Linked DNA regions of Daphnia pulex. The protein of the gene in region 1 interacts with the protein of each later gene in a pairwise test. Links are inferred from orthologs where the notes say so. Each region holds a gene or a part of one and is shown on either strand. Other genes may lie near its edges. The genes, in order: serine/threonine-protein phosphatase PP1-beta catalytic subunit and uncharacterized protein LOC124191462.

Evidence for each region.
Region 2: the proteins of serine/threonine-protein phosphatase PP1-beta catalytic subunit (region 1) and uncharacterized protein LOC124191462 interact in a two-hybrid assay, tested with the Drosophila melanogaster proteins (2 studies listed by BioGRID). The link is inferred for Daphnia pulex from reciprocal best matches to the Drosophila melanogaster genes flw and Zasp66.

What each region holds. Positions count from the first base shown.
Region 1 is NC_060021.1:5,451,936-5,456,000, reverse strand, and holds serine/threonine-protein phosphatase PP1-beta catalytic subunit, read left to right. Parts: upstream 1-1,184; 5' UTR 1,185-1,202; coding exon 1,203-1,323; intron 1,324-1,386; exon of another isoform or gene 1,387-1,573; coding exon of another isoform or gene 1,574-1,589; intron 1,590-1,741; coding exon 1,742-1,873; intron 1,874-1,966; coding exon 1,967-2,197; intron 2,198-2,259; coding exon 2,260-2,436; intron 2,437-2,508; coding exon 2,509-2,795; intron 2,796-2,856; coding exon 2,857-2,958; 3' UTR 2,959-3,248; downstream 3,249-4,065. Other genes in the region: probable ATP-dependent RNA helicase DDX10, read right to left, coding at 3,394-3,574, 3,632-3,736, 3,797-4,065. UniProt on the Drosophila melanogaster protein: Required for cell adhesion in non-muscle tissues and in maintenance of muscle attachment. Vital for larval development.
Region 2 is NC_060019.1:9,912,331-9,916,703, forward strand, and holds the start of uncharacterized protein LOC124191462, read left to right. Parts: upstream 1-1,281; 5' UTR 1,282-1,932; coding exon 1,933-2,055; intron 2,056-2,835; coding exon 2,836-2,972; intron 2,973-3,128; coding exon 3,129-3,231; intron 3,232-3,593; coding exon 3,594-3,758; intron 3,759-4,110; coding exon 4,111-4,290; intron 4,291-4,373.

The DNA.
Region 1 (4,065 bases):
TTTTTTCATCATTAGATGCTATGTGTCGAAAAGCTAAAGTGTTTTTCCACTGTGATGGAGCCCAAGCTCTAGGTAAAATTCCAATTGATGTTGAATCGATGTCAATTGATTTATAAAGGTATTTTACAATTTAATATATGATTGTTATTTCGATGTAATTCACTCTTTTTTCGCATCATTCTTTTCTTGAACTTGAACAAAAGGTGTTGGTGCTCTTTACGTGATAGGCCGACCACGGGTTAGGATTGAAGCTCTGCAAAGTGGAGGTGGTCAGGAATGAGGGATACGTGGTGGAACAGTTCCTACTCCACTGACAGAGTGACAGTTGGTTTTGGCGCAGCATGTGAAGTAGCTCAGCAAGAACTTAAGGTTTTAGTTCATGTCATAGTAGTATCCATACATAACTAATTGATCAAAACCATGTTTTAGTATAATCATGCCAGATTAGTAAACTATCGCAACGCTTGATCGATCAGATTGGTAATAGTTTAACACATGTCGTACGAAATTGAGATCCTGAACACTCCTACCCAGGTTGTGTAAACCTTTCTTTCGCCTACGTCGAGGGAGAAAGTCTTTTCATGGCCCTGAAAGGTAACTTTATATAAAGGCAACTTCCACTACCTTTCATTTTAACTAATTCTTTTTATTACGTAAGACGTGGCACTCTCAAGCGGAAGTACTTGCACCTCAGCATTGCTGGAACTTTCATATATTTTGCGGACCATTGGCGCTGAAGAAGATTTGGCGCATTCTTCTATTCGATTTGGAATTGGGCGATTCACCACCGAAGCTGAGGTTGATTACACGGCAGAAAAGTGTATTCATCAAGTATCACCAAACTTCGAGAAATGAGGTATATACCGACCAGGTTTGGAATTCCCAGACAAAAAGCTTATTTTACTTCCGCTAAAAATGTTAATTTGTCCTTCTTCCTTATTTGTTTATTTTTGTCGAAATGAAAATTTATAAATGCAACGTCGTTCTTTTTTTTTTTTTATGGTCAGTGTTTTAAAAAAGTAGAAGAGTATACAGAGTACAATAAAATAAAAAATTACAGAGTAAAATAAAAAATAACGACAAGAAAATGAAGCACAAGAACAAGACTGCCTAATTCCAAAATTCTTCCAAGATAGCTCTGTCACTTAGCCGAAGGCCAACGCTTGCAACGCGAGCCCTAGTTTCCCTAGCAGACGAAAGCCATGTCTCAAGTTCAGGTGTTTACATCCAGATGGTGCTGCACAACTATTTTAATCCCGTCTGACTTTTCGATGATGGCGGACGACCTTAATGTTGACAGTATTATTTCTCGATTGTTAGAAGGTAAGTCATTATGAATTAAAAATTTTGATTAAAACTAATAGAGCAGTCTGAAAGCTAGGAACTAAGTGGTCTCATTGATACATCTTTTATGCGTTCAATAGCTTCTTAGACTACTTTTTTGGTGTAGAACTGCAAAGGGCTTCAATTTTCAATTTCGAAAATAATGATTACGTTGGCAATTTTGTGACGCTAAACAAATTCTTGAAACCAATATTTCCCCATCTTCTTATTTATATTTAAATGAAACTAAATGGTCTCATTCAATGGTAATAATTTAAGGTTCTATACAACTTGATTAGAGTATTTATATCACATACCCACAGCCTTGTTCCTTGCCCTAAAAATGAAATTGTCATGTGATTACCTGTAAATCAAATTGTTAATCACTAACCATTTTTTTTTATGTGTTTTGTAACAGTGAGAGGATGCCGGCCTGGGAAGTCTGTGCAGATGACAGAGGCTGAAGTTAGGGGCTTGTGTTTAAAATCCAGAGAGATTTTCCTTCAACAGCCAATACTCCTTGAGCTAGAAGCACCCCTGAAAATTTGTGGTATGCACTAATTTTAACAAATTTCATTCTTATTTTTTTTACTTGGGACTTCCAAAGAGGTAGTAAATTATATTTTCTGTTTGGTATTTTCAGGTGATATTCATGGCCAGTATACAGATTTGCTAAGATTGTTTGAGTATGGAGGTTTCCCCCCTGAAGCAAATTATTTATTTCTTGGCGATTACGTGGATCGCGGAAAACAGTCCTTGGAAACCATTTGCCTTCTACTTGCTTATAAAATCAAGTACCCTGAAAATTTCTTCTTATTAAGAGGAAATCACGAATGTGCATCCATCAACAGAATTTATGGCTTTTATGATGAATGTAAGTAACTATCGTTTTCTAAATGGCCATTTTTTAGAGTGATGTATTCTGCTTTATCTTAGGCAAACGGCGGTACAACATTAAACTGTGGAAGACTTTCACCGATTGTTTTAATTGTCTTCCTATCGCCGCCATAATTGACGAGAAAATATTTTGTTGTCACGGCGGCTTAAGTCCCGACCTACAAAACATGGACCAAATCAAACGTATTATGAGGCCGACTGATGTACCTGACACTGGTAAACTTCGACTTGGCTTTTACACCTGAAATATATATAACATCATATGTGGCTGATTTGTTTTACATTCAGGCCTTCTTTGTGACCTGCTGTGGTCCGACCCTGATAAAGACGTGCAAGGATGGTCTGAAAATGACCGCGGCGTTTCCTTCACTTTCGGAGCTGATGTTGTCAGCAAATTTTTGAATCGCCATGACCTTGACTTGATTTGCAGAGCTCATCAGGTCGTAGAAGATGGTTACGAATTTTTTGCCAAACGTCAACTGGTTACTCTCTTTTCTGCGCCAAATTACTGCGGGGAGTTTGACAACGCGGGCGGCATGATGAGCGTTGATGAAACACTTATGTGCTCTTTTCAGGTATTTCTATTGAATGTTTAATATTTGTAACTCAAATTTAAAATTTTTCCAAATTCGTTAGATTTTGAAACCCTCGGAGAAGAAAGCAAAATACCAGTATTCTGGTATCAACGCCACGAAGCCGAACGCAGCTGCCAACAAACCAGTGCCCAAGAAGAAGTAATAGTTAGTAAGAGTTATTGTAAGCTTAATCCTATTGAATTATTTGATCGACTTAACCTTTCAACCGGAATGTGGTGGGAGCCATCAATGCCCAATTTCCCCTTTTTAACAAATTCTTACAACTACTATTTCTGTTGCCCTCGTCACACAATTTGGAGGACAACGTTACTCCTTCGCATGCTTCGTCAGCGTCTTCATTTTTTTCCTCGTTACTTACCACATCTCTTTCTCCCTTCATTTAGTGTATATCCTCTGTAAATCAAACAAATAAACCAACATGATATCAGCAAACTTGAACATGCTTTCCTTGTATGACGCAATGAAACAGTTTACAATTACGTCGGAAAAGATTCAGTCGACAAGCCGCGTTAATGTCAAAGTTCTCAATCCATTAAGCTGACTGTGTATTTCATATGGACAACGAGGCAGTCTTTCTTTAATTTTTAGAGCCAAGAATGTGAAGAGCCAACTCTTCGTCCATAGCCAAATCCAGGCCAGTGTCAAATTTACTGTTCTTAGCTGGTTTCTGTTTCTTAGGTGGCTTCTTCTTGATCCATTTTTGTTTCGTCTTTGTAGGTGTGGGAAGTTCTTCGCTTTCACTCGGTTGTCGCCGTTTCCTAATTATGAGAAAGAATTAATAGAATTCCAACTTGGTTTCAGCCAAATGTTTGTACCTTGTAATCGGGGTAGGCTTGACAGGTGCTTCGTCATTGTCACTTTCACTATCATCTTCACTGTCGTCATCTTCTTCACTCTCGCTCGGCAATCGCGAGCGTTTCCTAAATAAAGACAGAATTACTTTATTGGAACAAACGAAAATTAAATGGGAGATTTCTTACTTTGCAACAGCTGGCCCTCTGTAAACCTCACCTTCTTCTTCGCTATCATCTTCCTTGGCGCCGTAGATGCGATCGGGATCGGGTAAAGCGTCTATAATTTCTCCGACTGAACCATCGACACTCTCGTCACCTTCAGACTCTTCGTCCTCCTCCTCACCTTCGACATTCGTTACTTCTTCTTCCTTCTCTACCCGGTTGGCAAGTCTACGCTCTGCTTTGGCTTTGAGTCGATCTTCGCGATGTTTGGCTTTAATACGCTGACGGAAGAT
Region 2 (4,373 bases), on another chromosome or scaffold:
TGCATTTCTTCTTTGGTGGTGGGGGGGCTGGCTCATTCATAAGATGATGATCGATGGCTGTTGATCGAGTCAACGCAACGAGGACACATTTTTATCTCACTCGGGCGTTGAATGTCGCCATTCCATTCGGACGGGAGGCAAAAGAAAGATCGAATCCCACGATGGTGAAATATGTATGCCAAGGTTACATCAGGATTCAAAGAAGAAGCACAACTATAACACAGAAAGTCAGGCGTCAACGCTGGGGCGGTATCAGAGCGAGACAGGACAGTTTTTTTTCCCGAAAAACAAAAAATGATTTCAAACTGCGCAATAGTGCGTGAAATAAACGAGCAGTCATCAGTAAAATAGAAGCGACTAGATCCCAAGAGAATGTTCTAGATTATTCGTGAATTCAAATCTTCTAGTTTCTCGAAGGAATCATATCATTTTAAGAACTGAGTCGATCGTTCTGGAATGCTATCAGCGACATGCTTCGTGAACCGAGTCATCCCGATGGCATGTCGTCGGGAGGGGGGCGAAAATAGTAAAAGCGCCAGAGGATCAGAGACAATGTTTTGATTCATTGAATGACGAATCCGTTTGGATTGAAATGTGTCAACACCACCAGTAGGTATAGAGGGAAGATTTTGGGCTGATATTGCGTGGGCACGGCATCAGCCGATCACGTGGAGTCAATTTCTTCTTCACTTTTTGGCTGCCGCGCCAAAAAAGCTACGGGGCGACCTATACGCTAATGAGATAGAGAGGGCTCCCAGCTTGATGAACCCGACAATTTAGCTGCCCCTCTGTGTGTGTGTGTGTGTGTCATGGACCTCTGCCTTTTGAAATGGCAGCCCAGACAAACAACATCGGACACGGTTTTTAAAAAATAAGAGCGGACACGCCGTTTGCTGCGCCGGCCAACCTAACTCTACTATATATTGCGAGAAAGAAAAGAGCTTGCACCTATTTTAGGACCGTACAACTCATTTTGTTTGCCTGGAATTTCTTTTTTTTTTCTTTTTCCCCTGTGAGTGTTTGGACTCTTCTACACTTTTAACGACGCGAATTCAAATGCGCAACACTTCCTGAATACCCGCTAATGATCAACGGGCATAGCGCTCTTGTCAACTGCGTAGATATTCAAGAGAAAATAATTTTCTAGAACCAGCGATCATGTGATCCTCTCGTGTGGGAAAGTGCGACGACCTTTTTTGCGAATTGCGCAATGTTGGCCCGCAACATTGAGCATAAGGCAACGACTCGGTTGTTGTTTGCCCTTGAAGTCGTCGTTGTTCGTTGTTGGGGCGACTCTGACGACGTTATCGTCGACGTGTTGCTCCGCTTTTTTCTATCCGCCACTTTTGCGTCCCGTGGTGGGTATACGAGTCTGGCATCGCTAAGAATTGTGTCGGGTTTGTGTGTTTTGTTTCATTTTGGCACGATGTTCAGTTCGGCCGAGCTTGCCGCCCTCCCGGTGCTGCCAAGAAAGAGAGAAAAGATTTCCGTCAGCAGAGCAGGATAGAAAAGAACGAAGCTTTAGCCCTGGCGACGGCGGGAGTAGTGAGACAGTAGGGAGGATCCTGTGTGCACGGCACAGTGCAGACTTCGGGTTTTTCGCCTTCATCAGTCGAGTATTATTGCGAGTCGCGGACGCCCACTCGCTCCTCTATTCTCTCCACCTAAGCGACAGCTCCTCAGTGTTTTTCTCTATTCTCATTTTGAATTGAACACAAACACAGTTTGAATCTTCTTCATCTGAGGCCAGTCTTTTCTCTTGTTACCTCAAGAGACCATCAGGTCTAGGTCAAATCGTGAAATCTTTTTCCCGTCGTGAACTGCTTCGTATTATATTTGGCTGAAAGAAAAAAATCCGACAACCAGCTGAAACGTATATACTATATACATCATCTCCCATATTTTAGCCAATTTCAAAGAGCTCTCATCTAAATGATGACCGTCATGAGTGCTGGGGAATTGACCGTGAACCTGCAGCGAGATGGGTGCGGCGAACCTTTCGGCTTCCGGCTCCGAGGAGGAACCGACATCCGAGAGGCATTCATCATTCAAAGGGTGAAATTTCCCTATTTTCCAATTTCAATCCCCGTTGTTATACTACGTTCAAAGTCCCTGATAATTATTGAGAAAATGTCGTGACAAATTCTGTGGGTCTTGATTTCCTATTTTAAGGAAATGGCCGGGGTTGCGAAGAGGAAGAGAGAGAGAGAGAGCGGACCATTTCCTGATTGTTTTTTTGCCAGTTGCCCCACAAAGTCGTGCGCGGTTTCTGCAGCTTCACGACTTGCGCTCGCCAAAATGAGACGGGAGTCTTTTGTCGAGAGTGTCGGTGGTTCTCTCTCTCTCTTTCTCTTTTTGGCACCGAAGCTCGGGCCTAAAATTAAATATTCGTTTGGGTGAAGCGCCCAGCAGAGTACGATATGGCATACCGTCCGTCCGTCGTCATGTTGACCTCGTTCTACATGCTGGCCCAGTTTGATTTTTTTTGTTTTTCACGCTTTTTTTGTTGGTCAACATTCTGCTGGCCACCTCGCCCGTGTTCTTTACTATCAGCGGTCGCTGAAAGACAGAGGGCCCCCCTTCATGCCATTCGGTATAAACACTTCAGCATATTAATGACTCTGACATTCCTGGTGAAATTGCCCTGTTCTTTTCATGGCTCCAAGAATGGCTCAGTTAAAAGATATTGCCGTGGAAAAAAGAAGTTAAAAATAGATTCAGTCACGGGACTTTAGCGGGTCAGCAAACGATTAAAACGGACCGTGCTGATGATGGGGGTCGAGGCGGATATTATGTTAAGAGATTTGCATTGATTGATGGTCGTGTGTGAATCAGGTGGCCGTGGGTAGCGAACTGCGTCGCGGTGATGTTTTGACCAAAATCAACGACCGTCCTTGTTCGACAATGACCCATCGCGAAGCTGCCGAATTGATCAAGAACGCCGGCACCACCATGACTGTCACCGTTCAGCGGTAGACTTTTCAAACCTTTCGCTTGATTTACAACATTTGTCTTTCATACAAATATCTGATTTTTGTATACATTTGACTCTACTTGTCGGTTTGATTAACCGATTGGGGGTTTCATTATTGATGACAAATCGACAACAACAAAATGCGCACCTGTAGAGGTGGACTGCCCTTGCGCCCGGTCGCTGTCCCCGTTGTTGCTCCATCCGCCGCCGCCCCCGCTCCTTCAACTGTCGCTTCTTCCGGTTCAATGTGTCAAAAAGTACGTCAGAAAGCAGAGCCATTACATTTCAAATCAATGCGCATTATAAGGTTGCGTTACCCACATCATCACCTCTAAACACTTCTCACTTCTATTCTTTTTTGTTCTCCTTTCCGTGTCATAACAATGTACTACCTGCACGAATTCGCTTGATTGTCACTCACGAGATGATGCTCTTCTTGTTTAGTTGCTAGGGCTAATCAACGACTAACATTTTTTATGAAATCAATCCCTCAATTCCATTGAGACTGGCAGTTTTTAAAAATTGTATCTACATTAATTTGTCCTTTTTTTTATAATTTTTCCATCTGGTTATTCTGGAACTTTGTTTCTTATCACGAATGAACCACGAATATTTTTAGGCGCCGACCCAAGCGGGAGCTTCAAACAGGACGATTTCGGAGATTATGCTAAGTCCTGTTGAGAATCTGCCAGTCACTATATTCCCCAGCTCAGCTATCAACGAATTCAACCAACAAGTCGAAGAAATGGATCGCAACCGTGAAAGGATCGTCGTCACTCACCAGGTAAAAAAAAAAATGCCATTCGATGCTAAATTCCCGCAAGCCGAATGGCAGCACCGAGCTTGTTGGTGGTTCCGATTCACGCTGCCAGATGTCCTGCAGAACCAATCCTTTTATCATGTCGTTCATTCAATGCATTACAGTATAATAGCCATGCGATCTGAAAAATGATCCCTTCGTCATTAGCCGAGTCATAGGTTTGATCTGATTCGTGACTAGTTGCCCTAAATGTTTTCAAAATGAATAGCAAACGGAAGTTGCGTGATTACCCGACATCGGCTCGGCAAAGCTTTCACTTGATCAATCAGTGTTTCAGAATCATGTAAATACGTAATCAATCTGAAAACATTATTAGCCGTACAGGACACTTCCTTTGGTAGTACCCGGTGCCAAAACTGGTCGCGACACTGCCAGCTCCACGCAGAGCTATTTGGCACTTCAAACGCAACAGAATGCAATGCTTTGGAACACCCCTGGTGCACCTCCGCAATCTGCCATGAATCCGTCCTCCACCGATGCCGTCCTCAAGCAAAAGGTAAATAACACGCTGCCTGCCAGGTGTGAATGATTGAACCGCTATTATATCATTCGTTCGATCGAAGAAAAAGGCTTGTCAAA